Oryzias latipes: one gene and its partners. Each later gene encodes a partner of the first gene's protein in a complex. Links are inferred from orthologs where the notes say so. Each region holds a gene or a part of one and is shown in the gene's direction. Other genes may lie near its edges.

Region 1 (4,314 bases):
AAATAAATGACACGATTCATTAAAAAATAATCTATTTACGATATGAAGTATTGTAAGAAGTAAAGAGAAAAATCACAAGTGTTTGAAATACAACAATATATAGAGATATTTAAAAAAAGTTTTTGGTATTTCATTTTATTTTTAAATGAAAGACTTTTTTTAAAAATACATACAGAAAAGGTTGGTTAATATTATACCAGAAGCTGTTTGCTATCACACTGTGGCAACAATCACATAGGGTCAAATTGTTATGCAGCGAAGTGATATACATTTGGTCTCTACAGGAAAAAGTTGAACATTTTAGCTGAAAATGAAAAAATAAATAAATAAAACAGTTAGACTACCCAAAGCTTTTGAAATGATCATTTCTAATTAGCAGAAACTTTTTAAAATTAGAAATGCCTTTCTTTCTTTAAATTTTATGTCATTGTAGCATGTCAGGCTGATTATTCTGTTAAAAGAAGTTAAACTGTTTTATCCTTTGATTTGTTCGAGGGAAAATGTTTACATGTTACACTTGTGTACTCTACTTGGATTTTATGGTAAAACATGTGCAAAATAATAATAATAATAATGCATTTTAGTTTCTAATTGGCCAATGCACAATCTAGTGAAACCCCGTGGTAGAAATCAATTGTTAGCTGATCAAATAAGCCTTTACTTACTTACTTACTTACTTACTAACTTACCCACTTACTTACTTACTTACTTACTTATTTACTTATTTACTTATTTACTTATTTACTTATTTACTTATTTACTTACTTACTTACTTACTTACTTACTTACTTACTTACTTACTTACTTACTTACTTACTTACTTACTTACTTACTTACTTACAGTTGTGGGGGGCAGATAGAAATTTAACTTGTTTCCCATTTTAAAAAAAAGGATCAATTTGATCTTAGTGCTGTGTCCGAATTTCCAACCTAATCACCAACTACTAAAAACGATATAGTGTCGTGGGTTTTAAAAGCAATTAGGACACCATCCTCACTATTTTTTTTCTTTTTTTAAAACGGGAAATATAACGTTACCGATTTCACGAAGTGAAAATCTGATCAATACATACTCCGTCGTAAATACAAGCAATTTACAACAACTATTTATTAATTCATTGCGTACTTGAAATAAAAAAAATATTGATTGTTTAAAAAAAAGCATTTCAACACATTGTTTTCGCAAAAAATGTTCAAAACGCAATGCATTGTCATTGATCTATGTTGGCCAATTTAATGAGCGTCGATGCACACTGGTTAATTTGCAGAGACTTCCGAGAAATTTCTTAGGAACTGGATTTTGAAATTGTAGATTCGGACAGCATTACAAAATTGCGAACGCACTGTATAGTGCACTGTGTAGTGAGTGGTAAAGGAATTTAGAGATGTATTTTTACACAGGCAGTCATGAGACTGCCTCTGCCTGTGAAAAAAAACTTTCACATGGGTCGGGTCCTTCAAGTGCACTCTATCAAGATGGCAGCCAACAGCAGCACGTTCAGCAAATCGAGCAGCAGCGCGGCTGGAAAACAGCCCGCGCAGTCAGCCGAACAGGTATCCTATTGAGTAGCGGAGTCTTTTGTCTCGGTACTCCTGAGATTGTGACATATTATTCGTATATATTCAGCAGAAAGTAACTAAACCGACGTACAGCCAGTCAGCGCTAACGTTAGCTTCCCCGTGGCCACAGAAGTGTCTTGCAGTCAGACCCATGCGAGGGGAAAGAAATTGTGAGCATGAAATTAGGTCCAATTTGTGCTATTTGCACATCATGGAATGGGATAACGTCAAAGATAAACTAAAGGTACACCATTCTGTATGTGGGTGGTGTGGCCCTCAGAATGGGTCTGACAGAGCATGATGATGCTATTTTTACTACTCAGACAGTCAACAACTATGCACAGCTCAAGGGCTACGGAAGCCTTTCATATAAGAAAAAAACTGTTTCAACACGTTGCCAAATTATTAGTATAAAGCGACGTCTTAGTGATAGACAATAACATGTAGACACACTATAGGAACAAATTAGCATAAAAATGGCAAATGTTGAAATGTATTAATCTTTATTCGATGTTTGTTGAAAAATAACATTAAAAATACATATGAACTTCAAAAAATTTTGGGGTCAAAATTAAATATTTTCATACAGGTTCAAAGAATACTGTGAATTAAGTCATATTAGGAAGTCATATTCTAAGTTATAAATTGCTCTTGATTGAAAAAAGAAAGTAAAGCTAAAAAAAATGGTACATACATTATATATAAAAAAAGTAAAACAATTTGAAATCATTAACATGGAGAAGGTTATGCATTTGGTCTGCTTAAATTGAACCAGAGTTCACTTTAAGGTCTGGGACCTTGACCCATCTTTGCAGGTGGTCTTGGTTAATTTCCAATCAGATTGAGCTCGGGTTCGCTCTAAGATTCCTCAATCTGAATACCACTGAACCTAAATGGCCACCATAGCTGACATAAACAGAGTAGGAATGTGGCTACAGATGAGCCGCGGACAAATAAGCAATTATTATCGTGTTATCAAACAGAAAAAAAGAGTTCAAGTGTTTATTTGTTAGAACGTTTATTTTAACATTGCTGAAAAGGCTACTTGCATGCTTTTCTGTATCTTGTTACGCGGCATTCGCCTGTGGCATGACTAAAAGCTATATTATAGTTTCCTTAACAGAATTCTCTAAAAACAATGCCCTAAAACCACAATGATGAGACACAGCAACTCATTGAAATGTGGTCAGATGAATGCAGGCTAATTAAAATCATTTTTAATGGGAAACACATTGTATCTCACTGCAGGCTGAAATGACACAATTCTGATTGTTTTTTGCCCCTATGCGACCTGTATCTGATCTTTTCATGACAGTCTGAACGACACAGATCCGATCTTTTCAAATGCGACCCAGGCCACTTGCGTATGTGGTCCTGAATCCGATATGTATCCGATCATTTCAAATGCGACCTCCGTCTGAACGTCCAGGCCACATGAATCCGACCCGTACGTCATTGATACGCTGCAAACATCATCATTTTTCGTTGAAGTAGGCGGGAACAAGAACATAAACATCAACCAATGGCGGACGATGCTGCTGAGACCAGTCAGTGGAAGGGAAGCGAAGTCACCGATTTGATTAATATTTGTGGTGACGGCTCTATTCAGGCCAAACTCCAGGGCTCTTTATCGCAACCATGCGGTTGCCCCTCAGAGAGGAGAGAGCGTGGCAGCCTACTCATACCCGACGTCTCGTCATCAATGCAGTTACTAGCATGCTCTGAGTTAAAGCACACACAGCACGTCTCCTTGCCACTGACCGCTTCGCAGCATGCCTTTGCCGTACCAAAGTAACAAATAAAAAGGCTTGTTCCCGACGTTCAAAACTGATAATCGAAAAAAATATAAAATTTTAATAATTTAACTGTTAAGCGGCACACGTCCACATTTCTCTTGTTTTGATCTGCCCTCGTAGTTCCTGGCCAATGACTGAAGAGATCTTTAGTCACATTGTTTTGTTTATAAGCTTTGGTCGCTAACAGAATGGGGCGCTTAACGCCAGTCTGATAAAGGCCTAACGCAAGGTTCGGAACTCGGTCCGGAACAAATTAAGCGGACTGGATCAAAAGGGACTGGGTAAAAAAAAAAACTCTCTAAAGTCACAATTTCCTTTTAAGGTTTGGTAAGTTTATTCAGCCTGAAAGCCCCTCAGTCTGAAACAGCTTACATGCTTGTGTTGGGATCAGACGGATGCGTCAAATGTCATTGGTCTGCATTGATGCCAGCTTTGCGGTGATGTTTTCAGGTGGTTGCCACCTTTCAGAGGATGCGTCAGGAACAACGCAGCATGGCGTCTAAAGCTGCAGAGCTGGAGATGGACATCAATGAGCACAGGTTAGCAGCTGATGACTTCTCCTCTGAGAGCTTTTATAATACTCACTTTTTATGTTTGATTGTTAGCAGGACAGCTAATTGGATCATGTTGGTCTGTAGTTAAATTGACCTTTTTACTTTATATACATTAAACTTAAAAAAGAAAAACATCTTGTAACTCACCTCGTCACATAACTGGTAAGTGGTAAAAGAGTAATAATTTTAATGTTTTTTTCTTTTTGTGTTCAGTTTAGTTATTGAAACTCTTAAGGAAGTGGACCCTTCTAGGAAATGCTATCGCCTGGTTGGAGGGGTTTTGGTAGAGAGGACGGTGAAAGAAGTTCTACCTGCTTTGGAAAACAACAAAGAACAGGTGAAAATAAACAAATAAAAGCTCTTTAACATTTATCACAGGAAGCTGTTTTTCAGGCTAATGGACA
Region 2 (3,215 bases), on another chromosome or scaffold:
AACTGTTTTAAATCAATTCAGTTTAAGACCAATGTAGAACTTTACACAGGTGTGTTTGCCTAGAAACAGTTGTGTTTGCACTGAAAAGGTGTTTGACCCACTGCTGAAGAAAAATCAATCACATTCGTGTCATCTGTTGATCTCTACCAACAACTGCAAACTTTATTTTTTTCAATAATAATAGATCACCAGCAGCATAAATAAGGAAAAATACTATTTTAGCTTTCTCTCCATCTTAGGAGCTTCATGGCACAGTTTTGACTCAAACTGAAGAGTAAAAAAAACAAAACAACTATGAGGTATGCAAAAGCTATTTAAATGCTGAGAGACTTCAAAAGAAAAAAGGCAAAGACAAGGTTGAAATAAGCTGCAGAGTTCAGCAGGTATTTCAACATTCATTTTTTTTTGGTTGTGTGATCTTTGAGCAGGGAGGTGGGGGTTAGGTTGAAACTGCTTTTAAAGGGGGTTAAGCATCTGTTCGTCTACAGACAGATCAAGTCAACAAAAAGCTTTAGTCCCCGAAAAAATGCACTTGCATGTGTTATTTTTAATTTGATGATTCAACATCAGCAGATGAAAGCATGTCATATTATAACTAAAATATAAAAAAGCTAAATTATCTTAAGACAAGGCAGGTTGGTTTGTCTTCAGCCACTACTTTAGTTTAGTTTTACAAGTAAACAATGAAAAAATACTTTTTTAACTAGAGATACTGTTCCAGCCTAGCAACAATTGGCTGGAGGTGTATTTCCCCCCAAAAGCAATATTTTAAGAAGTGTTTCTGGGGTTAAAGTAAAGGGTAGGGTTAACAAAGGTGCAGCTTTCAGAGGCTCTGATGTCAGAAAAAAAAGGAAAAGAAAAAAAGGAACAAGACACAGACAGTTAATTGGGTGTTTTTAAAGACTACTTAATAGCTTCAGGTGGTTTTGAAAACTGATCAAAAATGATCAACATATCAGATGTGCAATGGATTCATTATTTAATTTATGCTTAATTGATTTTATTTAATCAGTGTTTCTTTTTGTTGCTTTTTTCTTATATGGAAGTGTCACTTTAAATGAAAATTAAAACCGGGTAGAAACAGAAAAGTCTAACTTCTTCTGTCTCGAACTTGCTTAGCTGATTAAATTTTAACCCAATTCCGTTTAAAAAACTTTTTTGTAGTAGCCCAATACTATTTTTTTAGTCTTAAGAAAGTAAATTACATCAAATCTGTTATTTAAAGACATTCTTATTCAATCTGTGTTTACCCCTTGGTTACCTATAATTTGGCAGGCCCCGGACCCTGAGATGTGTAGCGGGTGTTTTACAAATCTGGCCTCTAGGCGGCAGTGTGCTTCGAACTCCCCACCTATTTCTTCACCCGGAACGGTTATGACGCATATCCGGACATGTTTGTCGCAGAAGTAGACGCTGTTAAGAGAAAAATTAGATAAAAAGTTTTCCCTCGTGGCTCCTTTATGAAAATGTCTTCAAAAAAATACAATAACAGCGATAATTCCCAAGAGCAAACCACATATAAAGAGGAACTCAGTAAAAAGGTAACTTTATATCAAAGACGCGCTACTGTTAGCTGGCTAAACAACACGGATATGTTTATTCACCTTTTTCAGCATGTATAGTAGAACGGAAAAACGAATAGCAATACTTTTGTTAGTATTTACGCACCAATAGTATGTATTTACTGTTTTAATAAGTTTCGATTTTCTCATGTTTGCTGGAAAAATGAAGGACTGCTGATCTTTAAATTAAAACTTAACATGATGGGATACATCTCCTGATGGCTTCATCATCATAGGGTTGTTAACGTTAACTTGTTGCTAATTTCCAGATCAAAGAGCAAAAGGTCGTTGTGGATGAACTCTCTAACCTAAAGAAGAACAGGGTACGGTAATTACCTTTTTACATCCATCCATCCATAAATCCATCCATCCGTCGTAATAAATTCATTTTTTATTGATTTTTTTTTTCTTTTCTTCAGAAAGTTTACATCCAACAGAGAAACAGCAACATTTTCTTCCTGGCTGACAGAAGTCAAACATTGTCTACAAGCAGAAGTATGTGTTAGTATTCATTTATCCTCTTGCATTGAAATTTTTACAATGTTGTACCATACTACAATATAACTCACCTTTTTTTTTTTAAAACTTTTTTTATTTTTATTCTTGCAGAGGAACTGGATTACTTGAAAAAAGAACTGCAGGATATTTAGAGCTGCAACAATGTGTGGAATCTTTTTCCAGTTGACTTTGTCAGCTGCTCAATTTGAGAAGGACAAAAGAATTTATGAATTTCTGAAGAGAAGGGGCCCCAACTCTAGCAGGGAGCTATCGTTTCCTGCTGTAGATTTGAGCTATCACTGCTCATTTTCTGCCCATGTTCTCCATATGAGAGGCCTCCTTACTCTTCAGCCGTTTCAAGACGACGCTGGAAATGTCTTGATGTGGAATGGAGAGGTTTTTGGAGGGATTTCTGTGATGCCAGAAGAGAATGACACCACTGTCATCTGTCAGAAATTGTCATCTTGTAAAAACTCTTTGGAGGTTCTGGCACTTCTGTCTGCCATTCAAGGGCCTTGGGCATTTGTTTTCTATCAAAAGGCTGAAGATTATCTCTGGTTTGGGAGAGACCTTTTTGGAAGGCGCAGCTTGCTGTGGAAATATGACGCCGAGATCAGTGTCTTCACTTTGACCTCAGTGGCAGCTGGGATTTCTGCGCTGGGTCAGTCTGATTGGAAAGAAGTCCCAGCTGTTGGCGTGTTTAAGGTTGATGTAAAGGCAGCTGCACAGAGTGGTTCTGTGTCCTTTGAGCTTTTTCCCTGGGCAAGAAATGTCATAAACCCATCATTGAGTGAAATGATGGTTAACTCTGTCCCTAGTGGGTGCAATTTTGAGATAAATCGAGCAGGTTTATCAATCACTTCACCTGTTTGTCCTTTGAATATGTCCATTCCAGAAAAAAAGGTTGAAGTTAATCCCAGTTCACAGGTGTCTGGAGGAAATCTAGAGGAGTTTCTAATCAGCAAGGAGAAAACTGAAGTTGTGAACCGTCTAATTGGTGTCCTGAGTGAGGCGGTGAGGCGACGAGTTCATTCGTTGCCTTTTGTGGCAAAAGATAATTTACCTCTTAGCAGTGGCCAGGCTAGCATTGCTATACTCTTTTCAGGAGGCATTGATTCAATGATCCTCGCTGTCTTAGCAGACAAACATGTACCT
Region 3 (4,402 bases), on another chromosome or scaffold:
TTGGAGAGAAGTGGCGTCTCTCCAAAAATGTTCTTTATGATCCTATAAATTGTTGATTTAGATGCAATCTTAGTTGCCACAATACCCTCCCCTTTGAATCAATTTTTATGCAATACAGTGATGGCTGCACACGTTTCTTTGCAGGTTACCATGGTTACCAATGGAAGATTAATGATTCCAGGCATCACCCTCCTTTTAACATGTCAAGTCTGCCATTCTAACCCCATCAGCCTGACAGAATGATCTCCAGCCTGGTGCTCGTCAACATTGTCACCTGAGTTAACAAGACGATGAATGAAATGATCTCAGCTGGTTCTTTAATGACACCAATGAAATGCCGTGGAAAGAGTTTTGGGGGATTAAGTTCATTTTTATGGCAAAGAAGGACTATGCAATTCATCTGATCATCATAACATTATGGAGTATATGCAAAATGCTATTATATGTATTTAAGCAGCAATTATTTTCCAATTTCCAACAATATTTACGTCATTCTCCAAACCTTTGACCACGACTGTACACACTCACGTGCTGGTTGTCCTCAATCTCCTGCAGAGCCTTGATCTCCCTCAGAGCCTGATTGGGAATGCCGTCCTCCAGCTTCCTCAGAGCCACCTTCTTTAGAGCCACAGTTTCCCCGGTCTGTCAGAAACACGTTCATCCATCAGCCTGAATGATCACCTGTTCAGGTGTCTGTTTTTTCTGCTCCATGAACATGTTTCACCTGCACGTGCTTGGCCTTAAACACGATTCCGTGAGCCCCTTCTCCAATCCGGCCTAGGATGCTGTACTGCTCCATGATCATCCAGGACCCCTGCAGCTGCAGCGGGGATCTTTATGGACTTGGACTTGTTCCTTTACTTAACGGTTTTTAGTCCACGGGTTTTAAGAGCGGGGCTCCGGCGCGTCCAACCAAAATAAGCACGACATTTTGAACGGAACGAGACCGGAAGTGGGCGCTGATGTTGCCTCGGTCACATCTGATAAATAAAACTACGAAACTTTAGTATATCGTTGAATATTTAGTATAGTGCTGGATATTTACTTGATGCGTAAAGCTGATGACATGTACGCGACACCAAATGTGCGCTGTCCTTTGGCACTTGACGAGATATTTTGAAAACGTTTCAACTATAGTCAACGCAGCTCTCCGCCATGTTTGTTGACAGTGACGTCATCACAGGACAATCCAAATCAACGAAAATAAAACAACGAAGAAGAATAAATAAAATTAGCACAACCAGCCATTAAACAAAAACATATATATTTTAAAATTCATATTCACATAAGGTTTAACCCGGGAATTAGTTTATGAATAATTGCCACGTTCTATATATCTGGTAGAATATGGAAGAATAAATGTAAGTGAAAATGACCAAATAACAACTGTTTGCACAAAGTGCTTTAAACATAAAAAGAAATTAAATGTTCTTTTTTCTGCTCCTCTTCTACGCTGAAACCTGGAAGTATCTTGTCGGAGTACTTCCGGTTCAGAATCTTGTTTAGATGACTGCATGTGGGGCTGTGAACTTCTTTACAAGTGTCTGAGCTGAACCGGCCCGCAGAGCCCCCGCATTAGCCCCCCATCCCCGATGACTCCGCCCACAGACGCCGGTTCTGACTCGAGGATGGAAGAGAAGGTCCTTCAGTATGAAAGATTCATCGAGGAAGTTCTGAGGAGAGACCTGCGGTAAGCCCCTCTGGGTTCTGCTCCGGTTCTGAAAGTCCCCCTCTGATGAAAATCATGTTTTGTGACATTGTGGTATTTGTCTTATGAAATACAACAAATGGAATTAGACATGGTTTCATTTTTGCATTTCTGAGTGTTTCTCCTTTTAAACCGCTGTCAATCAAACTGTCTCAAAGACGCTCTGTTTGAACTAATGCGGTGTTGTGACGTCACAAAGGCCCAGGGGAGTATTCCAGAAAGCAGGTTATGCACCCACTATTGGAGAAAAATTGCCCCAGATATTGAATGGAAGAAAGTTTGGACTTTGTCCTCTAAATATTTTATTTCAAATAAACCCCGGGATGTTTGTTTTAAACTTCTTCACAGATGCTACCCAGCCAAATCCTCATTACACATAGACATTGATAAAAATTGCTCCTTTTGTAAATTAGACACTGAAACAATTATACATCTTTTCTGGAAATGCCCCCCAACAGCAATTTTTTGGAAAGACCTTACCTCCTTTGTTCGATGTTAAATTTATGAAAAATTTGATTTGGTATACAAGGATATATTATTTGGTTTTTATAGTGTTAATAATTCACTAAGAAGGGAATACTATTTAATTAACCTTTTGATAATACTAGCCAAATTCCACATACATAAATGCAAATTTTCTGAAAAAAAGCCCTTATTCAAACTTTTTATGATTGAGTTGAACCAATATATCAAAGCAATAAAACATTCTTCCAACCCCAAAGCTATAAGAACCTTTGACACCCTGGAATTTTTTTAAATGTACAGAATAGCAACTTACTGCTTTTTCTGCTCTTGTTTATAATTTTTTTTTTCTTCTTTCTTCTCCTTTGTTCTTTTGTTCCCCTGGCACATTTTGTTACTCTTTTTTTTTATCTGTGTACTTAAAATTTACTTGAATGAGTATCTTGTATATCTTCAATAAAGTTTATTAAAAAAAAAAAAAAAGAAAGCAGGTTATGCTAGCTCCCTCGGTACGTTTGAGGCTAAGGAAGTTGATAACCTCAGCTTTCAGTTCCAGAAATAGAGGTATGTTTCAGGTTATGTCAAGTTGCCATAGCAACTCATGCTCTGAACATAACCTGGTCTGGAGCAGGTTTAGTTGAAGGTTAGTTTGTTTACAGAGAGGTGAAGCAGCATGGCGTGTCCATTTGAAGATGATTTAGTGGATGAAGAAGCTCAGATAATACTTTTTACACCATGAGAGGGTGATAAGACCACATATGGATGTTGGAAAGATAAACTTTTTTACTTTGATCTAACTTCATTATTTGCTTCAGTTAAGATAAATAATTTTTTTCAGTTCAGTCAACTTAAAAATAACACATAGTTGTCAGACAGTTATTTTACTTTCATTCAAATTAATTCAATTGAGTAGGTGTAACTTTGGTGCTGCTGTTAGATCGGCACCGCAAGGGATTGTGGGATAGCATTCCCTTTGCCTGTCTGGACGGATTTGGGTTTAAGTGTGGCTTTTTGACCAAATGTGTTTAGTTGTTTAGCTGTTTTTATTGTGTTTTGCCCAGTTATTTGTCCTACTATGCTTAGGTCTCTGCACCATGAGGGAGAGGATGATGAGATTATATATATGTTATATATAGAGAGACCTGAAAGAAAACCTAAAGTTCAGGAGGTCAGAGCAGGCTGGCTCCCCATCCTGCAGCAGGTCTCTGTCTGGCCCCCAGCTCGCCTCCTGGGAGCCGCATAGTGAGATCAACCGCTCCAGCTCCATGGGCCCTGGGACAGACTGTCCAGGCTTTAGCCGCCTTTGTTCAACAGCAGCTGGTGTAGGTAGCATAACCATTCAGCCTGCAATAACCGTTTGGGGTCCTTTCGACTGAGGATGATGTCACATTACGGTAGCCCCACTTGGACAAACTACGTAGCGTGGAGATCTGCTCGGGCTCTACATATTCTCATTTCACGTTTCCTTTTATAACATAAAGTTCTTTTCCCTCTTAAGTTGTGTCTGACATTATTCTTTGTAGTGTTTATAGAGATTTTGCCACAACCCCCTTTGTAAAGATCTGTGGCTGCTAGAATGAACCTGCTGCTCCACAGAGTGAACCCTGTCTCTGAGCAGAGCAGCTGGAGTCTCGTAGCTTCGTGTTTACAGGCAGGGAAGCTGCTTTGTCATAGTGTGCGGTCTGGAGAAGGGTTCTGAACGCAGTCCATTCATCTGCAATGCACCTAATAATAATCATAATATTAAAAGCACGTTTAGAAGATAATGTCGCTCTGTGTCGGAGCTCTGTTTGTTTACAACGGACCGTATAATATCTTCTTCTATGGTAGTATTGTCATTTGTCCAGACCAATCACTACCTGACACGTCATTGGACCAACAGACAGTCATCACATAATGTGACGTCAGCACTAGTCGAAGGACCCTGAACGGTTGTTGCAGGCCGAACTGTTATGGTACCTACACTGGGACGGTACTGAAAAAAGTCCAGCGCTTGCCGGACTTATTTGGAAAATTGCAAGAGAATTGTTACTTTCTTTCTGGCCTTTCATTTGAATTGCTGTGCAAGTGAATTCAACAATCTGCATGTCGTTGCATCAAATCAGTGCTGCTTGCTGGTGCAATGTAAAATCTAAATTATAACGTCATTTAAAGCATTTTTCGCGTTCTTATCAAAGTTCTTTTTGGTGTGTAAGTTCATTAAACAGCAGGGTCTGCTACACACATTCATTC
Region 4 (4,259 bases), on another chromosome or scaffold:
TGTCTTGGTATTTAGACTCATATAAAAACCTAAATGGAATTTAGCAATGTGTTCTTAAATGGCAAAACATACAAAATGTGAAGGTAAATGTAAAAAAAATAAAAAAGTAAGGCAGAGGTTTTTTACGTCATACAAAAAAAAACATCTAAAATGTTGACACTGTGATATGTTTATCAGCTGGTGCCAGTGAACAGACGGAGTGAAGGATGCTGGCGCTGCTCCAGCGTTTGTGACTATAGTCTGTTCTGTTCCGGACTGTTCGGAACCATCCAGAACTCGCTGGCTAACAAATATAAGAGGTTTATGAGCTTATGGAGAAATCTCCTTACGAGGTGTTAAGCAGAACGATGACAAAAACACAACAATAACAGGAGACATGCCTACGTATGCATAGACATGTAATAATACATGTACTCCAATGGAAACGCATGCACTGTGCTAGGCTATGCAATCAGGTTATAGAGAAGAAATACTTTACCGTGGTGGACAAAACAAAGTACAGTACCATCGCCAGCAGTGCTCCGCTGCTCGCTATAGCCCCAACTGTCAACATAACAATTAATGGCCTCATTTTTGACAGCGACTTAAATAAAAATAATAATAAAAAGGCCCCAGTTATCGGAAAAAATCTATTTTGTTCATTGTAAGCGCACGTGACTCATTTCCACCCAGTGTTGTGAAACTCAAGTGGGTGGAGTCAAATGCTTGACAAGACAAGGAGGAAATGACGTATGAGGTTTTTCAAAACAAAAATAAAAATAAAATATAGGTCAAAACGTTCAAAAAAAGGGGGGGGGGTAGGAGATAGAGGTGCACGATATGAGGAAACTCGCGTTCTGCGATATCAATGATCAATATTGCGATGACGATATAACTAGCGATACATGAACAAATAGCAAAACAGCCAAAAGACAGTTTCTATTTCACTGCAACAGTTTAATTTAAAGAAGAGTCAAGATGACGTACTTAAATTATACTCAATGACCCTCGTCTACATTCTAAGATTTTATCTATTTTTATAGATAAAATGTGTCATAATTAAAACATAGAAGGTGATATATTTATTTATTATTAGCAAAATATACTAAGCTTTTTTAAAACCTAAATTCAGTCAGTAAAAAATAAATTTAGAAAGAGATTTTTAATTCTGAAGCAAATTTTTATTTTAATTTATTTTTTTTACCATAAGTAAATTGTCTTCAGATTTACATTTCCAATTAGCCGAAGTTAAAAAAAAATACCGAATAATTAAGAACATTTTATGAAGACTTAATAAATTCGCTCTGAAGATAATAACCTGGAGGACTTTTCTTTAAGAACAGTTTTTTTAAACGTCAACTCGATCAAACGCAATGCATTGTGGTATATAATATTGGCCAAGCCAGGAACCATCGATGCCATCGGATTTTTAGAAGAATATTAGTGATTTAAAAATACGAAAAGGAGAATAAATTGAGAAAGGATGGACGATGAAGAGGAAACTTACCGGCTGTGGAAGATCCGTAAAACAATAATGCAGGTGGATTAAATAAAAGGATATACTAGCTTAGCAGCGAACTAGCTGTTAGCTTCACATGTGGCTCGCGTTAAAGAGTCGCTTTTGACTGCCATTGTTAAAGTTGTAACTAAATCTTTTACGTTTTGTGTGTTAATCTCTTATTCTCAGTGCAAGTCGTTCCAATTACGCGCTCAGACTTTTTTTTTTAATTATTATGTGTAGGAATGATGCATTCGTTAGCCTCGTTTGAACGAAGGCTAACTTTAGCACACCCATGATGACCCATTAAAAAAAGCCAACATGTTTTCGTACATGTAGACTACATGTATGACAACATGAATGCTTCAAATCATTAAATACACTTTCACAAAGTTTGCTGCTAAACTGCTTTTAGATTTTTGTTTCTGTGATGTACTGAAATATAGTTATCAGCTCTTTATTACGTTTAGGCTTTTTTTAATCGACAATAATTATATGACATTTATGCAGAGAGTCAGGTTTTGCAGTGTTGGACTTCCTTTGTCAGCACCCCTGCAATTCGACTGGGCATGCTGTCAATCAACTTTAGGGCCAAATCCTGACCGATAGCAACCCAGATTGATTAAGATCTGGGGAGTTTCCAGGCCGTGGACCCAAAATGTCAACATTTTGGTCCCCGATCCACTTAGTTATCACTTTTGCCTCATGGCACGGTGCGCCATCGTGCTGGAAAATACATTGTTTGACGCCAAACTGTTGTTGGATTGCTGGAAGAAGTTGCTGTTGGAGGGAGTTTTGGCACCATTCTTTATTCATGGCTGTGGTTTTGGAGAAAAATGCGAATGAGCCCACTTCCTTGGATGAGAAGCAACCCCACACATCAAGGGTCTCAGGATGCTTTACTGTTGGCACGACACGGGACAGGTGGTAGCTCTCACCTTTTCTTCTCCGGACAAGCCTTTGTCCAGATGCCCCAAACAATCGGATAGAGGCTTCATGGGAGAATAGGACTTTGCCCCAGTCCCCAGCAGTCCACTCGCCATACTTTTTGCAGAAGATCAATCTGTCCCTGATGTTTGTTTTTGGGGTGGATAAGTGGCCATCTTCTAAAAGTCTCCGCCTCACTGTGCATGCAAATGCGCTCACACCAGCCTGTTGCCATTCCTGAGCAAACTCTGCACTGGTGGCGCTCCGATCCCACAGTTAAAACCCATTAGGAGACGATTCTTGGCACTTGCTGGACTTTCTTGGACGCTCTGAAACCTTGTTAACAAGAATTGAACCTCTTTCCTTGAAGTTTTTGATGATCCTATAAATTGTTGATTTAGGTGCAATCTTAGCTGCCACAATATCCTCGCCTGTGAAGCCATTCTTATGCAACGCGATGATGGCTGCACACGTTTCTTTGCCGGTCAGCATGGTTAACAGTGGCAGAACAATGATTTCAAGCATCACCCTCCTTTTAACATGTCAAGTCTGCCATTCTAACCCAACCGGCCTGACATCATGATCTCCAGTCTTGTGCTCGTCAACATTCTCAACTGAGTTAAAAAGACGATGACTGAAATGATTTTTGGGGGGGGGATTCATTTAATTTTCATGGCAAAGAAGGACTACGCAATTCATCTGATGACTCTTTGTAACATTTTGGAGAACATGCAAATTGCTATTATAAAATCCTAGGCAGCAACTTTTGCAATTTCCAATATTTATGTAATTCTCAAAACCTTTGGCCAACACTATACATATTAAAATGTTGTTTGTTTTTTTTAACCACAGCTCTGCCACGATCGAGGCTATCTGGTAACACAAGATGAGTTGGACCAGACCCTGGAGGAGTTCAAGAGTCAATTCGGAGACAAACCCAGCGAGGGTCGTCCCAGACGGACGGACCTTACAGTCTTGGTCGCACACAACGATGATCCCACTGATCAAATGTTTGTTTTCTTTCCTGGTAGGTTTATACTTGAGAATAATTTGGGAACTCATCCTTTTATCCATAAAATAACCAAAAGTTTAAGTTACACTCCAATCATATTTCGATTTATTTTTAAAGGAGTCCCCAGTGGTATTATATTTATGAATGCTCTGTTTTTAGCCAAATTCATAAAAACCTGTGTGGGCATCACTGTTGGCACGGACGTAAGCCCCTGCTGATATCCCATCATCCCTTTTTTGTTTACACACTCTCCCATTAGATTACATTGACTTTATTAGAGAATTGAGCCATGGTGACGTCGCCTTTCTTCCGGCTCCAGAGAAATGAAGCCAATAGACCCTTTTCATGGTGACGTCAGACAAAACAGAGACATGGGCGCCATTGTGTCACCGTACTTCTGGTTTTAGACGAGCAAAGCTGACAACTGAACGCTGTTTAACACCATTCTATGAGAAGAATACACACTAACCTTACCAATCGCAACGGCACTTTTTACATGATTTATTTTATAAATGTCATATCCAACTGTAGTCAATTTCCTCTTTTAAATCTTTCACAAGTCAAAATACAAATTTAAGTAATCCATCAATATTTAAGGTTCAGTTGAAAATATCAACCTTTCATTTGAGTCTAACAGGTTATATTTTTTTACAGTTTCCTATTCTTTTTATCATTTTTCTTTTTCGCAGATCAGACACAGTTATTGGCAATAGCAAAGAGGTTCAGTGTTAGAAAATATTGCAACCGTAATTAGTTGTACTTTAATATAAGACACACTGGAACTGTCTTCAATTCTGTCATATTTGTCCTCCATATTAAAAAAACACCGTTTTCACCGGGGTG
Region 5 (4,433 bases), on another chromosome or scaffold:
GCCCCCACTGAAAGACGGGCAACCCGGGATAAAAGACAAACTAGACACAAATGTCCCCGTCATTCCACGCGAAACTCACGCTGTGCCGCTGAGAAAGCTGCGTGGGCTAAAGCGAATAGTCCAACGCCGACAACACCTTTCCAAAACGACGAAGCCATGTCGAAGCAGAGCAGCTACTGCGTGCAAAAGTGTCGTAAACACGTCGTAAATACGACTGCGTCAAAAAAAAAAACGCCCGCTGACGGAATAAAACACGACGGAAAATATTTGTATTAATTCCTAAATTTACACAGTTTTTCTGTACATTCGTGGCAGTTTTCTTAGTTGCATTTTCTGTAAAATAAATAAATAAGTAAAAGAAAGTCTTTAAAACGTTTTTGTTGATTTTCTGTGATGTGTGGTTGTCTAATTTTTTTTCATTGCATAATTAAAACCAAAATCTTCCCATCAGTAACAGCGTTCGTTGTGTATTTTAGAAATTCGTTCAAAACATGATGATACGACTACTAAGTATTTTAGATTTTGAATCATCAAAACGATACTACTTCCATGACCACTACTACTACTACTACTACTACTACTACTACTACTACTACTACTACTACTACCACAGGCTTACTGTTTATTTTAGGTTTTTGTTCAAATAATAATGATGCTAGTTCTGCAACTGCTATGTATTTTAGATTTTTAATAAAAAAAAAAACCCATACAAATGTACTACCATTACAGCAACTACTACTACTACTACTTACCACTTTTGCATTTTAGATTTTTCATTAAAACAATGATACTACAAATACTACAATTTATTTCCAATCAAAATACCACTGTGGTGACAAATGACGGGATCTGCCGAGAGGTGAACAAGTTGTTCAAACAAACACACACACACGCACACAAAGGGTCCATACAAACATTTATTCCTCAACTTACTTATCTGACTTACTAAACCTTCCAAGGTTCTATTGTTTATTGATGTAAAGCAAACCAAGGCAAAACTATTGTTGAAGAATCGCTTTTCTCAAATTTCCCTTCGTGGATTAATAAAGTTGATCTTGAAAGTGGATTAATAAAGTTGATCTTAAATCTTTCTCCCAGTTTTAGGGTCACAGTCCCTGAGTGTCCACCACTTTATTGGGCAACTGCCGTCTCACTTTTTTTTTAAAACCAATTTTCATTTCTCTTGTGATTTTTGAAGGTCAGTGGCTTGATGCCAGGTATTAGCCCCTTACATGATTTATTATGATTTAATACAGAGAGGACATCAACTCTTTCCATGTTGGAGATCCCCTTAGACTGATCAGAGCTGGTGGACCAAGATTTATCCATACCTTTTTGAATGAGATGTGGCAGCAATTAATTTTATTTTTAAATGTTATGTGTGCAATTCAAAGTTTAAAATATCTATTATCTTCTATTGTTCGACTATGAGAATAATGTAATAACTTGTGTGTATAACTACTAAGTCAAAAAAATCCTAATCAAATAAGATATTTTTCAAATTTCATGCAATTTCTTCATCTAATATGATATACATTGGACAGAAATAGAAAATATTTGATAAAACTCTTCTCTTGTACGACTGCGGAAACTCCGATTTTCTGGATGGCAGTGAATCTTTCACAACTTCCGCTAAATCCGTCGCTCCTTCCGGTTAGCTAGCGCAGTTCTCCCATTCTGTGTTGTTAGCTCTGAAACCTCTAGATACATTTATTTAACGTTTACACGGTTATTACAAACAAGTCATAAAACATGGCAGATGCAATTCAAAAGAAATTAAAAGCGGAATTAGAAAAATATTCGCAGGTGCAGAAAGGTAGGTACCTGTTAGCTGCTAGTGTGCCATGATGTTGTTACCATCGGGCAGCAGTTAGTTAGCCATGCCTGCACCCATGTTTCAAATATTTAAAGTAACTTTGAGATTTGACGTATTAAAAGAAATACAACTTACAAATGTCTGTTTTTTTTTCAGATGTGAGTAAAAGTATGTCCGTCAGGCAGAAACTGGAGACGCAGCTGACAGAAAACAACATAGTCAAAGAGGTACACGCCTAACCCTTAACAACATGTTTTTGTCCATTAGATATCTTTATGTTCAGTTTGACTGAAGATGTGACCTGTATATTTCCAGGAGCTCGATCTGCTGGACAGTTCTAACACCATTTACAAGCTTATCGGTCCAGTTTTAGTGAAGCAAGACTTGGATGAAGCCAAGGCCACGGTCACAAAAAGACTGGAGTACATCAATGGAGAAATGTAAGGAAAAGAAATACAAAAGAAAATGTATGGGATGCCCTAGTTAAAATGATATTTTCAAGCTTTAGTTTATAATATATAGCACTTACTATAAGCAGAGACGTTTATAGTCATTTATTTGTAATGAAATATCAGCCACAGAAGCTGGAAATCTAGTTTTTATGGGTAGTTCTGAAAATTCAGGATAGACTTGAACATATTTCGTCGCCATGGTAAAATTTTGACCACAAATTCTGAGTTCTACCTTGAATAAATAGAGAAACAAAATGCACGACGAGAACACCTGATTTAAGCTGTCTTTATAGAATATAGAATCACATAATTTGCCTTAAATTTACGCCATACCTTGAACCTTTTAATATTCAATTTCTACTGATACAATCTTATATCCTAAGACTGACAGTTGAAAGGTGAAGGCTTAATTTTTGACCTGAAACCCATAATTGTAGTATTTAAACATATAGACATTTTAGCAGACAGAAAACTATCTTATATCTTTACATTATAAATGGGGTCCAATGTGCCCCAGATGAGTAATTAGTCAAATTTTGGGGGAAATAAAATAATATATTAAAAAAATGAATACAGCTTTTGCTTTAAAATTAAATTAACAGTGTTGCTAAGTGATTATATCAGGTATTATGTTGCTTCATTCAATAGAAATATTTCTTTTTTTCATTACTGTGACACACTTTATGCTGGGGAAAACAGATGCATGTCACAGATATGCTTGTGTTTTTTTTTACATTAATATATAATAAAGACTGTACTCATAGTTTCTTTTAAATTAATGGAAGATGAAAAGTGGCTGATGAAAAAAGGGTTGTGCAGAAATAAAAGTTGACCTTGGCTGGTTGTACCTTCAAAAAAGAAATAAATGGGATCCCACAGCTGTCCGTTTGGGGCCTTAAATTAATTATGTCATATAATATTTACATGTTCTTAAAGTTAAAATAGTTTTATATTTGCTGTCCATGCATCTGAGATACTTTTGGACAGGTTTTTTCCCCATAATATTATATTTCATATCATTATGTTTGTAGTTGTTAAATTGTTTGTTCAATTAATACAAACTATCATTTATTTTAAACAAATGAATAGTAATTGTGAATAAATATTCTGACATTAACCTATTTATTAGCTTTTATCGTCTCATTATGTCATTTAGGCCTGCACAATATACCGCAAATTTATCGTTATCGCGACATCAAGCTGTGCAATATGCATACCGCAAAAGACGGCGAAAATCGCAATAAATGGTTACCTTAACCCTTGTGCTATCCTAGGCACTTTAACATTGGGAGTTGGGTCATCTAGACCCACTAGACAGTGCACTGAACAATTTTTCTTCAATAATTTGTGATCTTCACTGGTGTCCATGGATTACATGAAATCTTTCCACCTTTGTCCACCTTTGTCATGGTAGGGAGAACACGTCAATGTAAGGGGGGGGTCATCTAAGATAGCACAAGGGTTAAGTGTGCTAAAACAAACTCATGGCAGCTTGAAATATTGAACAAATGAAATAAATCCCTTTATGCATTTAACCAATCGGAAGGACCCGTTTACGCTGTTGATCAATCAAATGAGCCCTTTTATGTTTGATGTTTGCCTCCTACGTCGACAAGGGTCATTTGGAGTATGATTTTTATACTGTTGCATTGAAATGGAAATTATGTTTTTGGTTGGTTTGACATTTGTTTATATACCGCAAATTATATCGTTATCGCAATATTAATCACCAATATCGCATATCGCGAGTTTTCCTCATATCGTGCAGCCCTAGTGTCATTTGTATTTCATCTTTTAACGTCGGACACTGAAATCGTAAAGCAGTTTGTATCTTAAATCTGTCAAAAATGACTTTAGCATTAATCAAAAGGAGGATTGTGTCACACTATTTTAGGTTCTTGTTTATTTATTTACATATCTATGTTGTACAAGTATTTTGCCTGTTATTTTCTATAGGTAATTCTTTCTTCAGTTAAAACAAGAATTAGCTTTGATATTCTGTACTGTGTTGTAAAAACAAGTCTTTTGTTTTTACAGCAGCTCATTCATCCTGTTGGAGATTATTATTGAGCGTTTTTTCTGTCTTTAAAATTGTATTTTTTCTTAGACTTCTCTTTATAATACTGGTCACGTGCTTTGGTTACTTCAGGTGTTATTCTTGTCTG
Region 6 (4,182 bases), on another chromosome or scaffold:
TCAGCAATTCAAGTGGGTGCTGCTGAACTTGTTTGCCACACCCAACAACTGACGCCTGAAATGAAACAACGATGAGTTTGCTTCATCCTTGTCTCTTTCATTTCAGTCTTGAAGAACCTGTCATTTTCAGCATCCATCTGTTTCCTGAATGAAACATTATGATCTGGAACCCTTCAGCCTTGAGGGTTGAATTTGATGATTTATGGAAAGGATATTAAGACCCCCTCTGTAGCACTTCAGAGGGGTCTGCTCCTTCGAGTTATTTCGTCTAAACATTTTCAACAATTTCTCTGAGGATAAAGAGATTATCCTCAGACTTGGCAAATAAAAAAGGGAGATGCAGTTTTTTTACAAGGTAAATAATAAGAAACAACACCCATTCCTACACTTCATACCTTATGTAGGGGTTGTTTACACTTACTCCCTCTAACTGAAATATCTCTACAAGCATCATTTAGTTTCATGTGGCTTCTGTCATCAATCCTATAACTTTGGTTTATTAGTAGATCTCTTACTATAACTTTGTCTATATGAGGATCCTTGCACAACATTAATCTTGCATCCTCTAGTGGAAAAATCTGTGCAGTGCTGCTGGGCTTTTCTTCAGACTAATCAGGTTTAGTCACATCCTCTGCAAACCAACAGGGTTTCTTTTGGGTCAAAATGGAAAGTTTTTGAAACCTCTTAGTTTCTCTGACCAGTTTTGGTTCAGGAGATCACCTATGGATTATATAAGTCATGATAAAGAGAGAAAATTACCATAAGGACTTCAAGCACACATTATAAAAGCAGTGCATATTAAGGGAGTACATGTTTTTTAATGCATGATCATATTTTTACATTTGTTGGGAAATAAATATATGAATATTTGTGATGTTTTAGGTTTAATTATCTTTTTTTCAAGGTAACAGCATGATAAGTTGTTTAAAATGTGACGTTTTCTTATGCATTTCTTTAAGTTTAAAGTATTTTTTTAAACTACAATTTTAGATTCCTTGGTTTTATTTTGTTCAGATGACTGCAATCCAGGTCTTAAATTATTAGCAACCTGAGTTTATTTTTCTTTCTAATCTTTAATCTGTATTTGAATGCTTAAAATTTCAGTTCTAATAGTTATAGGTATCAAAAATGCCAAAAACATTATTTGTTAGGTAGTAAATTTGACACACAGAAAGATAATTTCGAAGTATTTAAGTATTTTCAGGTTATCATTATCGTGACGATCAAGACAAAAACGTAGCTTTCATCTCAAAAACAAATCCGGGCTTTTACGCCAGATTTGTAATTCACATTTGAGTCTATAGAGGGCAGTCCCAATAAACTCTAGTAGCGGAACTGAACGGCTTCGCATGTTTCTTGTCGGACACATTTAACCAGTACTCCCTGAGAAAGAAGCGGCGCTTCTCACGTTTTTTAAGTGTGGCTGCGGAGGTGAGTCCTGAGTTTGTAGTAGATGTTAAAATCAATTTGGACTTTAATATTTTCACCCAAGTAGTATAGCCAATTTATTTTTAAGTACTTCCGCGTGTCATGCAGGCTTTTATTACCCGGCTAATATGGCGTGTGCTGTTGTTTTGCGTTATGAACGGTGTGAATGATGCTAGCTTGTTTGCTAATATCGTTAGCTGATGTTACCTGTCGATTTTCTCCCCCCGTATTCATATTAGAAAATAAACTAATTTCAGTGAAGTGTCAATTTTTCTAAACCTGATTTACTAATACTTTCCTTCCTAGATATGTTTCACAAATATGCGTATATATATTTTAAAATGTCAAAGAGTGTTGACTAAGCTTTGCTGTTGTGTTGTGTGTGGTCATTCATTGCTGTCACTATGACAACGGACAGGACAAGTGGAGCATAAAAGGAATTCCACATTTATATTGCTTTGACAAAGTCTATGTGGAAAACACTAAAACATTGGTGAATGGAGGATGCAAATTTTAACTCTCTTTGGAAACGATAAACATCCAAAAGTGTCATCGATATTTGAACACACACATAAGGAATTCTTGCTGTTCTTTTTCATAAGCAGGATTTTTAAACAAACAATAAAAAATGCTCTTAAGATTTAGTCAAAGATCAACGAAGGCCTAAACTCCTCTGAAAATATTTGTTCTTTTGTTTACGATGAGGCAAATTGTTTTAAAAATGTTTCTTTGCATTTTTTTGTTTTCTTCTTGTCATTGATGTATTATTCTACAGATGGCAACTACAAAAGTGCCAGAGGTTCGGGACATTACACGGATTGAAAGAATAGGTAAGACCCCATGCAGATTTTCAACACTTTAGAAATAAATGGTAAGCTTAAATTGAATGGTAAACTTTAGAACATGCCTTATCTCTACATGAGCTGTGTGTATTTATTTTTGCTATGATTTCCCGTATGTTTGTAATATTTTGTGTAATAGTTTCATCTTTGTGTGGTTAGGGGCCCACTCTCACATTCGGGGCCTTGGTTTGGACGATGCTTTGGAGCCCAGACAGGTAACGTGCAGCACTTCTGTTTGTTGATCTCTGTTTTGACCCAAGACTTCAGTAGTTTTAGGTGTTTGTAGTTTTGATAAAATTATGGCTTTTTTTTGTAATTCATGTCCTTTAAAAAGGCAAAAACTTAACAGAGGAAAACATATTTGGATATTTTTAAACTGCTGTTAAACTTGAGAGGTTAAAATGTTTCGAATGTACCTTTTAATGTTTTGTTGTGTGTGGAAACAACATGAAGCAGTATAGAGGTAGTCAAGTAGCAAAGCGAGACTTGATTCTAAAGCCCTGTTGTCAGCACTAAACCCACATGTTGTGATTCCAACAGGAAAGTCTTTTAGCAGCTTGTTTAAAGCATTCAAAATGTCCCTTAAGTCAAAGGATAAAATCCGAATGAGGCATATTTGCTGCTGAACGAGTTGAGTTCCCTGTTCACCTGCAGGTGTCACAGGGGATGGTCGGCCAGCTGGCCTCCCGTCGAGCAGCAGGGATAATCCTGGAGATGATCAAAGACGGACACATCGCCGGCAGGGCCGTTCTGATTGCTGGCCAGCCGGGCACGGGGAAGACGGCTATTGCTATGGGTGAGCATGGGACCAGAAATGATGCATACAAGTTTCCACCTGAGGCAAAGTTCTGTTGGCTATTTGAGGCTTGTTGCATGTTTTTCTTTCATCTACAGGTATTGCTCAGTCTTTGGGCCCTGACACCCCCTTTACAGCTCTGGCTGGAAGTGAGATCTTTTCCCTGGAAATGAGCAAAACTGAAGCACTGAGCCAAGCTTTTAGAAAAGCTATAGGAGTGAGAATCAAGTAAGTATATAAACAAGGTTTAGGTTGTTTTTTTTGGATAGAAATTAAGTCCGCTCTCTTCCCCCCCATAAATCCAGAGAGGAGACAGAAATCATTGAAGGGGAGGTGGTAGAAATCCAGATTGACAGACCCGCCACTGGAACAGTAAGATCCTTTCACTTCATAAACAGTCTTTCCATACCATAGCTTTAGAAAACGTTGATTTATTTAGCTGATTCGCCTCATGTTGAGCTGGTTTGCTTTAATCAGGGTGCAAAGGTGGGGAAGCTGACTCTGAAGACTACAGAGATGGAGACAATATATGACTTGGGGAACAAGATGATTGAAAGCCTCAGTAAAGAGAAAGTTCAAGCCGGGTGAGTTCATCTTCTCCTCATAAAGCAATATAAAGGTTTGGGTTTTGTTTTTTTCTCAGTCCTATCTAAATGGAGCTTTTCTTGTTTGTCTTTAAACACACTTTTTAGTGATGTTATTACCATTGACAAAGCCACCGGGAAAATCTCCAAGTTGGGGCGCTCCTTCACTAGAGCCAGAGACTACGACGCCATGGGAGCCCAGGTAAGATCTCTGCATGGGACAGTTGAATACCATACTTTGAATTTGGGTTATAGTCAAATACAAAGTCCACCTGAAGCCTCTGTAAGTGTTATCACTTGAAGATTATAATGAATACTATGATTTCAGGGTTCCCTTGCTATATCACAGTTCACCTTTCGCTTTCTTTTACTGCAATTCTGCACGTTTTTTTTTTCTTTTTACAGCACTGTGTTGTGCGTCCTGATTGGCTGTTGACCTTGTCAATTAATCCCCTCTCTGTTCTTTACACAATGTGCTCATCTTACCAGAGTTACATCAATCTTTTGTCACAATCAGATCTTTGTTTTCATT
Region 7 (4,351 bases), on another chromosome or scaffold:
AAAATTAGTCTTTTTTTCCTTTTTTTTAAGTACTTTTTTGGGCAATAATTTATTATAACTAGATACTGGAGATAATTTTTCAGTTTTTGATATCAACTATCTGTAAATGTGCATTTTATGATTGTTTTGAAGCTGTTTCAGGGGAAAAATCCTTCAGTATGTTTACATAACTGCTACATGTCAAGGAATATGGACAAGCCTGTATGTTTTTAATTAAACAACAAATCTTTTAAAATGTTTGTTTTCATGTCCTAATAACTTGATTATGAAGCTTGTGGTTTGTCAAAATAAATAACAGCTACATTTACAAGCAGAAGGCAGTAATGCTTCCCAACCCTGGGTTTTATATTTGTCTTTCTGCACGGATCTTTCTCAGGTTTTTGACCTGAAGATGTGAAAAAAATCTGAATTTTATTTACAGAGATTGAGATATTTTTAAATCTAATGTGTTGTCTAATGTTTCAGTGTCCCCCATCCGCTTAAGTCTAAATTTTAAATACATGATCAGAATAAATTTTGTTTAACACTTAAAAAAATACAAACACACCCAATAAAGCAAACAGATGAATGAACCAGTGGTCCAGGTTTAGCCACTTAATTTTACTTTGGGCAAATACTGAGACAAAAAAATGTAAACTCTCTTTTCATGTACATTTGGATAACATTTATACTATACGCAGCATAAAACACAGCTGTTTATTCATTTCGCCTCCTCAGTTTCCAAAAAAGCAGTGAAATCAAATGTTTGTATGGGCATCAGAAATATTCTGCTTGTCATAGGCCAATGGGAAATCTTATATGTTCAGATGGTTCAGACTTAAGTTCATCATTAGCAAATATTAAAAACTGTAAATAAGAAAGTAGACCAGATATTTCCAGCAAACATTGGGGGTTACTAAAAACAATGCGGGTCATTGTGATATTTTCTGGGTTCAGCTCATATAGAGAAACAAGATGATGAAATAGCCACTAAATGTGCTTGAATAGTTTCCAATAAAGGATTTTGAGTTAAAGATCAGTCTTAGCAAAGCAGAGATAAAAACATAATCAAAGAGAGAAAGAAATATGACGAAGACACTGGGAGAAGGAACAAAGGAATAATAGAGGGGAAAATGATGAGAGCGGGACAACATAGGATAGGAAAAGAGCAATAACTAGATTGAGACGTAAGACTCGAACGTTTTTAAAACATGAATACATTTTTTTTAAACTAAAAAAAAAAAATCCAAATTTAAACAACCTTGAAATGTTGAACATGAAGTTTGAGGTATCTGTAAATTTAGGCAATGGTCGATGTGCGCTTTTTTTTATTTATGAAATTTTTGCAAATTAAGATTGAATTCATTTTTTGAGAAGATTCCACTCGAATGTAAGTAAGAACGTGAAAGTTAAGAAAAGATCCCGGTTTACACTCCACTCCAGTTGGCGGCGGTAACGACCAGCAAGCTGTTTGCCTACCGCCAAGAAAATGCAGAAGATGAAGCGTTCCGCCTTCTCTTGTGTTTCTCGTAGAACATATTTAGATGCGACACCGCCAACATGGATGCGGGTTCGCAGCGTGTGCTGGACTACCTGACAGAAGTGGAAGAAGCAGCCGAGGAGGTTATCACAACCAAACAGCAGGTATGTTGTGACGAACCGCAAATCGTTTCTTTTTTCAAAAGTCATGTTTAACATAGATAGCTTCAGCTAGCAAAGAGGTCACCGAACCGCTTCACTAGCTTAAAAACAAGTGATACTGAAGTTCAAGTTGGGCTGCCTGGATGATGATCATGATGGATCGAAATTTCTGTTCACAAAATTGAGTAAAAAATATCCTAAAATAATATTTTATGTCATGTTATACTATGAATTAGATGGCGTGTCCAACAAAATATTTTTTGTATTGATGATCTGTTTGGGGAAATTCCACTCACAGAGATGTAAACAAAAAAAGAAGTGTTTTCCTCTACTTAAACGTAATAAAGTTGAAAAGAAATTAGATAAAGATTAGCTTGATACCACTCTTGAAGAAAGACAGAAATTCAAAAGTTCTGCTTTCAATCTGGCTCTATTTGACATTTTAAAGATTTTATAAGAAATTTATTTGCAAATGAAATTTTCTATAAACTACAAGTGGATATTTTAGCAGCTAGTGCAGCAAACACGGACAATTTCTCTTTTAACATAAAATCTACTATAAATTTTGATCATAATATCTGTGACATAAATGGACACTCTGTCTTTGTTAGTTTAGTTCACTTTATATTCTTTTTGGCTGTCACCAGCCAGGGTCTTACTTTGACCCATTTTCTTCATTTAATAACCAAAAATTGGATACTAAATTAGGTAAATATGAATTCATGTGTCTTTCTTTTTTTTTTCTTTTCTTCAGATAGTGGACCTGGACTTGAAGAGAAACCGGAACAGGGAGGCGCTGAACGCTCTCAAACATGAGCTGTCTGATTCAGGTGAGGCAGGACCGGGTCCCGTCATGTTTAGAGGCAAGAAAGGAAAACCTGATCGCTGCATTTATGAAATATGTCAGAAGTGCTGCTGTTAAATAACAAACCCAGCCTTTTCCAGCCTTAATGTTCTTGTTTTTGTTTGCAGAGAATGTGAAGGTTTGCTTTGGAAACATGTTTATTGAGTTTGACAAATCCAAAACTAAAGGGATGGTCCAGAAAGGTAATCCTTAAAGAAAACACACTTCCATGCTTTATGTGTTTATTCATAAAAATAAAAATGTATTTCTTTTGTGCTGCAGACCAAGAACAGCTGGATAAAGAAATAAATAACCTTCGCAGAGAACTGAAAACTAAATTCAATCATCTCAATGAGATTCAAGGTATGCAACTCTTTCAAAATAAGAAAACAAAAAAGGAAAAATTAAAGCTGACAATTTTAATAAAACGCTTTACAGGCTGTGTAGCAGAAGGGGAAACGTGATTCCTCCCTCTGGTCCTGCCCTCCTGTTGGAAGGAGAAGAGGTGTTGCATTTCTCTTTTGGATGAACATAAAGGGGTTTTGGGAAGAAAAGAAGTGCTGTAAAACACTGGTAGCCATTTGGAACAGAGGATGTTACTTTTGACAAGTTGAAAACTCACAAAACTCAAGAAAAGTTAATAAGCTAAAATAGGTTCCTAATTCCAAAATGTTAAACTGACATTTGTGAAAATGTGAAATATCAAGACAAATTAATTAACAGCGTTCATTTGGGGCTTTGCACTGTTTCTGTAGAGTTCAGTTACACAACGTACTTGTCGGTCGTTCCGGTTGAAGCCAGTTGCGTAACTGCGGAGTCCTAAGGTGACACAAATAAATACTGCAAGCTAAGAGTGGAAACACCAAGACAACAGCAGACCTCATAATATATCTTTGTTTACAGATTTCTTTGCATTTTCTCTGACTGAGCTGCTGTAAGGTTCCAATGCCACAAGGGGGCAGCACACTCAAAAGCAGGCGAAATGTTAGTCTACAGATGTTTTCCACCTGCTCACACCTACAGACTGATCTGATCTGCACATGCACTCTTCTAGACACTCAGTTCAGGAGCCTTTACTCTGTGTCCAGGTCACTACAAACATTTTTTTTAATCATTAGTGCGTCTCTAGAGCTATCATTTTCTTTAGTAAAATACAAACAAATTAAAATAAAGTACCGTAAAATGTTTGCACCAGGAGGGGTAAAACTGTCTCATAACAACAGCAACTAGTGGAAAAGATGCCCTGACGCTTCATTCAAACATTCAGAAGTCAAAGTAAGTTTCATCAATTAAACTTTTATTATTGAATAGCTAAAACTATTCCCTTCATTTCTGTAGGTAAACCGGAGCTCAGAGGCTACAGACTGTCTGCACTGTCCTCTGAGGAGATCAAATCTATCAACAGCCTCCTGAAGACCTGATTCTCCGGCTGTTTCGAGTCACTTCTGAGAGAATGAAGCGCCAAAGCTGCAGGCCTGAGTTCCAGCGCCACATTTAAACATCATTTAAACATGCTTATTAAAGGCACCTTGGCTGGACGGTTGGACTGTCGGGGATTCGTGCAGGACACTTCTGCAGGTTCAAAAGATGACAAACATGTCCTTTTTTGCACCCGGTTCCTGGACTGTTTTAATAAAGTTCATATCTATTATATTTACAGTTTTAAAGTTGTTTCCTTTAGTAGACAGCAGCAGAATCTATATTAAACATCTTCTAGAATTGTAGTAGTTAAAGATGGCTGTACTGACTGGTCAAAGTCCACTTTCCAAACTCTCTTTAAAGGAGATGTTTGGATGTCCATGTTCCTCTGACTCTGAAGTTTTTGTGTAAATAATCTTTTAAAAGAAATAAAAGAATTTATTATCAAGTACATCTAATTGCTTAACT

What was found.
Region 2: pfdn2 (region 1) and ASNSD1 upstream open reading frame protein share a complex: the UniProt entries of both Homo sapiens proteins name them as parts of the PAQosome complex. The link is inferred for Oryzias latipes from reciprocal best matches to the Homo sapiens genes PFDN2 and ASDURF.
Region 3: pfdn2 (region 1) and uxt share a complex: the UniProt entries of both Homo sapiens proteins name them as parts of the PAQosome complex. The link is inferred for Oryzias latipes from reciprocal best matches to the Homo sapiens genes PFDN2 and UXT.
Region 4: pfdn2 (region 1) and polr2e share a complex: the UniProt entries of both Homo sapiens proteins name them as parts of the PAQosome complex. The link is inferred for Oryzias latipes from reciprocal best matches to the Homo sapiens genes PFDN2 and POLR2E.
Region 5: pfdn2 (region 1) and pfdn6 share a complex: the UniProt entries of both Homo sapiens proteins name them as parts of the PAQosome complex. The link is inferred for Oryzias latipes from reciprocal best matches to the Homo sapiens genes PFDN2 and PFDN6.
Region 6: pfdn2 (region 1) and ruvbl2 share a complex: the UniProt entries of both Homo sapiens proteins name them as parts of the PAQosome complex. The link is inferred for Oryzias latipes from reciprocal best matches to the Homo sapiens genes PFDN2 and RUVBL2.
Region 7: pfdn2 (region 1) and pdrg1 share a complex: the UniProt entries of both Homo sapiens proteins name them as parts of the PAQosome complex. The link is inferred for Oryzias latipes from reciprocal best matches to the Homo sapiens genes PFDN2 and PDRG1.

What each region holds. Positions count from the first base shown.
Region 1 is NC_019876.2:18,973,660-18,977,973, forward strand, and holds the start of pfdn2 (prefoldin subunit 2), read left to right. Parts: upstream 1-1,432; 5' UTR 1,433-1,443; coding exon 1,444-1,554; intron 1,555-3,806; coding exon 3,807-3,895; intron 3,896-4,123; coding exon 4,124-4,247; intron 4,248-4,314. UniProt on the Homo sapiens protein: Binds specifically to cytosolic chaperonin (c-CPN) and transfers target proteins to it. Binds to nascent polypeptide chain and promotes folding in an environment in which there are many competing pathways for nonnative proteins.
Region 2 is NC_019879.2:16,672,288-16,675,502, forward strand, and holds ASNSD1 upstream open reading frame protein, read left to right. Parts: upstream 1-1,381; 5' UTR 1,382-1,460; coding exon 1,461-1,541; intron 1,542-1,831; coding exon 1,832-1,885; intron 1,886-1,981; coding exon 1,982-2,057; intron 2,058-2,171; coding exon 2,172-2,212; 3' UTR 2,213-2,222; downstream 2,223-3,215. Other genes in the region: asnsd1 (asparagine synthetase domain-containing protein 1), read left to right, coding at 2,223-3,215.
Region 3 is NC_019865.2:33,765,811-33,770,212, reverse strand, and holds the start of uxt (protein UXT), read left to right. Parts: upstream 1-1,469; 5' UTR 1,470-1,592; coding exon 1,593-1,690; intron 1,691-4,402. Other genes in the region: cdk20 (cyclin-dependent kinase 20), read right to left, coding at 529-642, 725-805. UniProt on the Homo sapiens protein: Involved in gene transcription regulation. Acts in concert with the corepressor URI1 to regulate androgen receptor AR-mediated transcription. Together with URI1, associates with chromatin to the NKX3-1 promoter region.
Region 4 is NC_019862.2:26,974,646-26,978,904, forward strand, and holds the start of polr2e (DNA-directed RNA polymerases I, II, and III subunit RPABC1), read left to right. Parts: upstream 1-1,345; 5' UTR 1,346-1,462; coding exon 1,463-1,519; intron 1,520-3,256; coding exon 3,257-3,431; intron 3,432-4,259. UniProt on the Homo sapiens protein: DNA-dependent RNA polymerase catalyzes the transcription of DNA into RNA using the four ribonucleoside triphosphates as substrates.
Region 5 is NC_019868.2:26,684,635-26,689,067, forward strand, and holds the start of pfdn6 (prefoldin subunit 6), read left to right. Parts: upstream 1-1,617; 5' UTR 1,618-1,752; coding exon 1,753-1,816; intron 1,817-1,972; coding exon 1,973-2,043; intron 2,044-2,131; coding exon 2,132-2,256; intron 2,257-4,433. Other genes in the region: mmgt1 (membrane magnesium transporter 1), read right to left, coding at 80-158. UniProt on the Homo sapiens protein: Binds specifically to cytosolic chaperonin (c-CPN) and transfers target proteins to it. Binds to nascent polypeptide chain and promotes folding in an environment in which there are many competing pathways for nonnative proteins.
Region 6 is NC_019872.2:21,690,771-21,694,952, reverse strand, and holds the start of ruvbl2 (ruvB-like 2), read left to right. Parts: upstream 1-1,321; 5' UTR 1,322-1,431; intron 1,432-2,203; coding exon 2,204-2,258; intron 2,259-2,429; coding exon 2,430-2,485; intron 2,486-2,924; coding exon 2,925-3,066; intron 3,067-3,164; coding exon 3,165-3,294; intron 3,295-3,371; coding exon 3,372-3,438; intron 3,439-3,543; coding exon 3,544-3,650; intron 3,651-3,758; coding exon 3,759-3,852; intron 3,853-4,182. UniProt on the Homo sapiens protein: Possesses single-stranded DNA-stimulated ATPase and ATP-dependent DNA helicase (5' to 3') activity; hexamerization is thought to be critical for ATP hydrolysis and adjacent subunits in the ring-like structure contribute to the ATPase activity.
Region 7 is NC_019863.2:18,202,469-18,206,819, reverse strand, and holds pdrg1 (p53 and DNA damage-regulated protein 1), read left to right. Parts: upstream 1-1,495; 5' UTR 1,496-1,539; coding exon 1,540-1,623; intron 1,624-2,374; coding exon 2,375-2,450; intron 2,451-2,592; coding exon 2,593-2,667; intron 2,668-2,746; coding exon 2,747-2,827; intron 2,828-2,902; coding exon of another isoform or gene 2,903-2,928; exon of another isoform or gene 2,929-2,969; intron 2,970-3,802; coding exon 3,803-3,885; 3' UTR 3,886-4,334; downstream 4,335-4,351. UniProt on the Homo sapiens protein: May play a role in chaperone-mediated protein folding.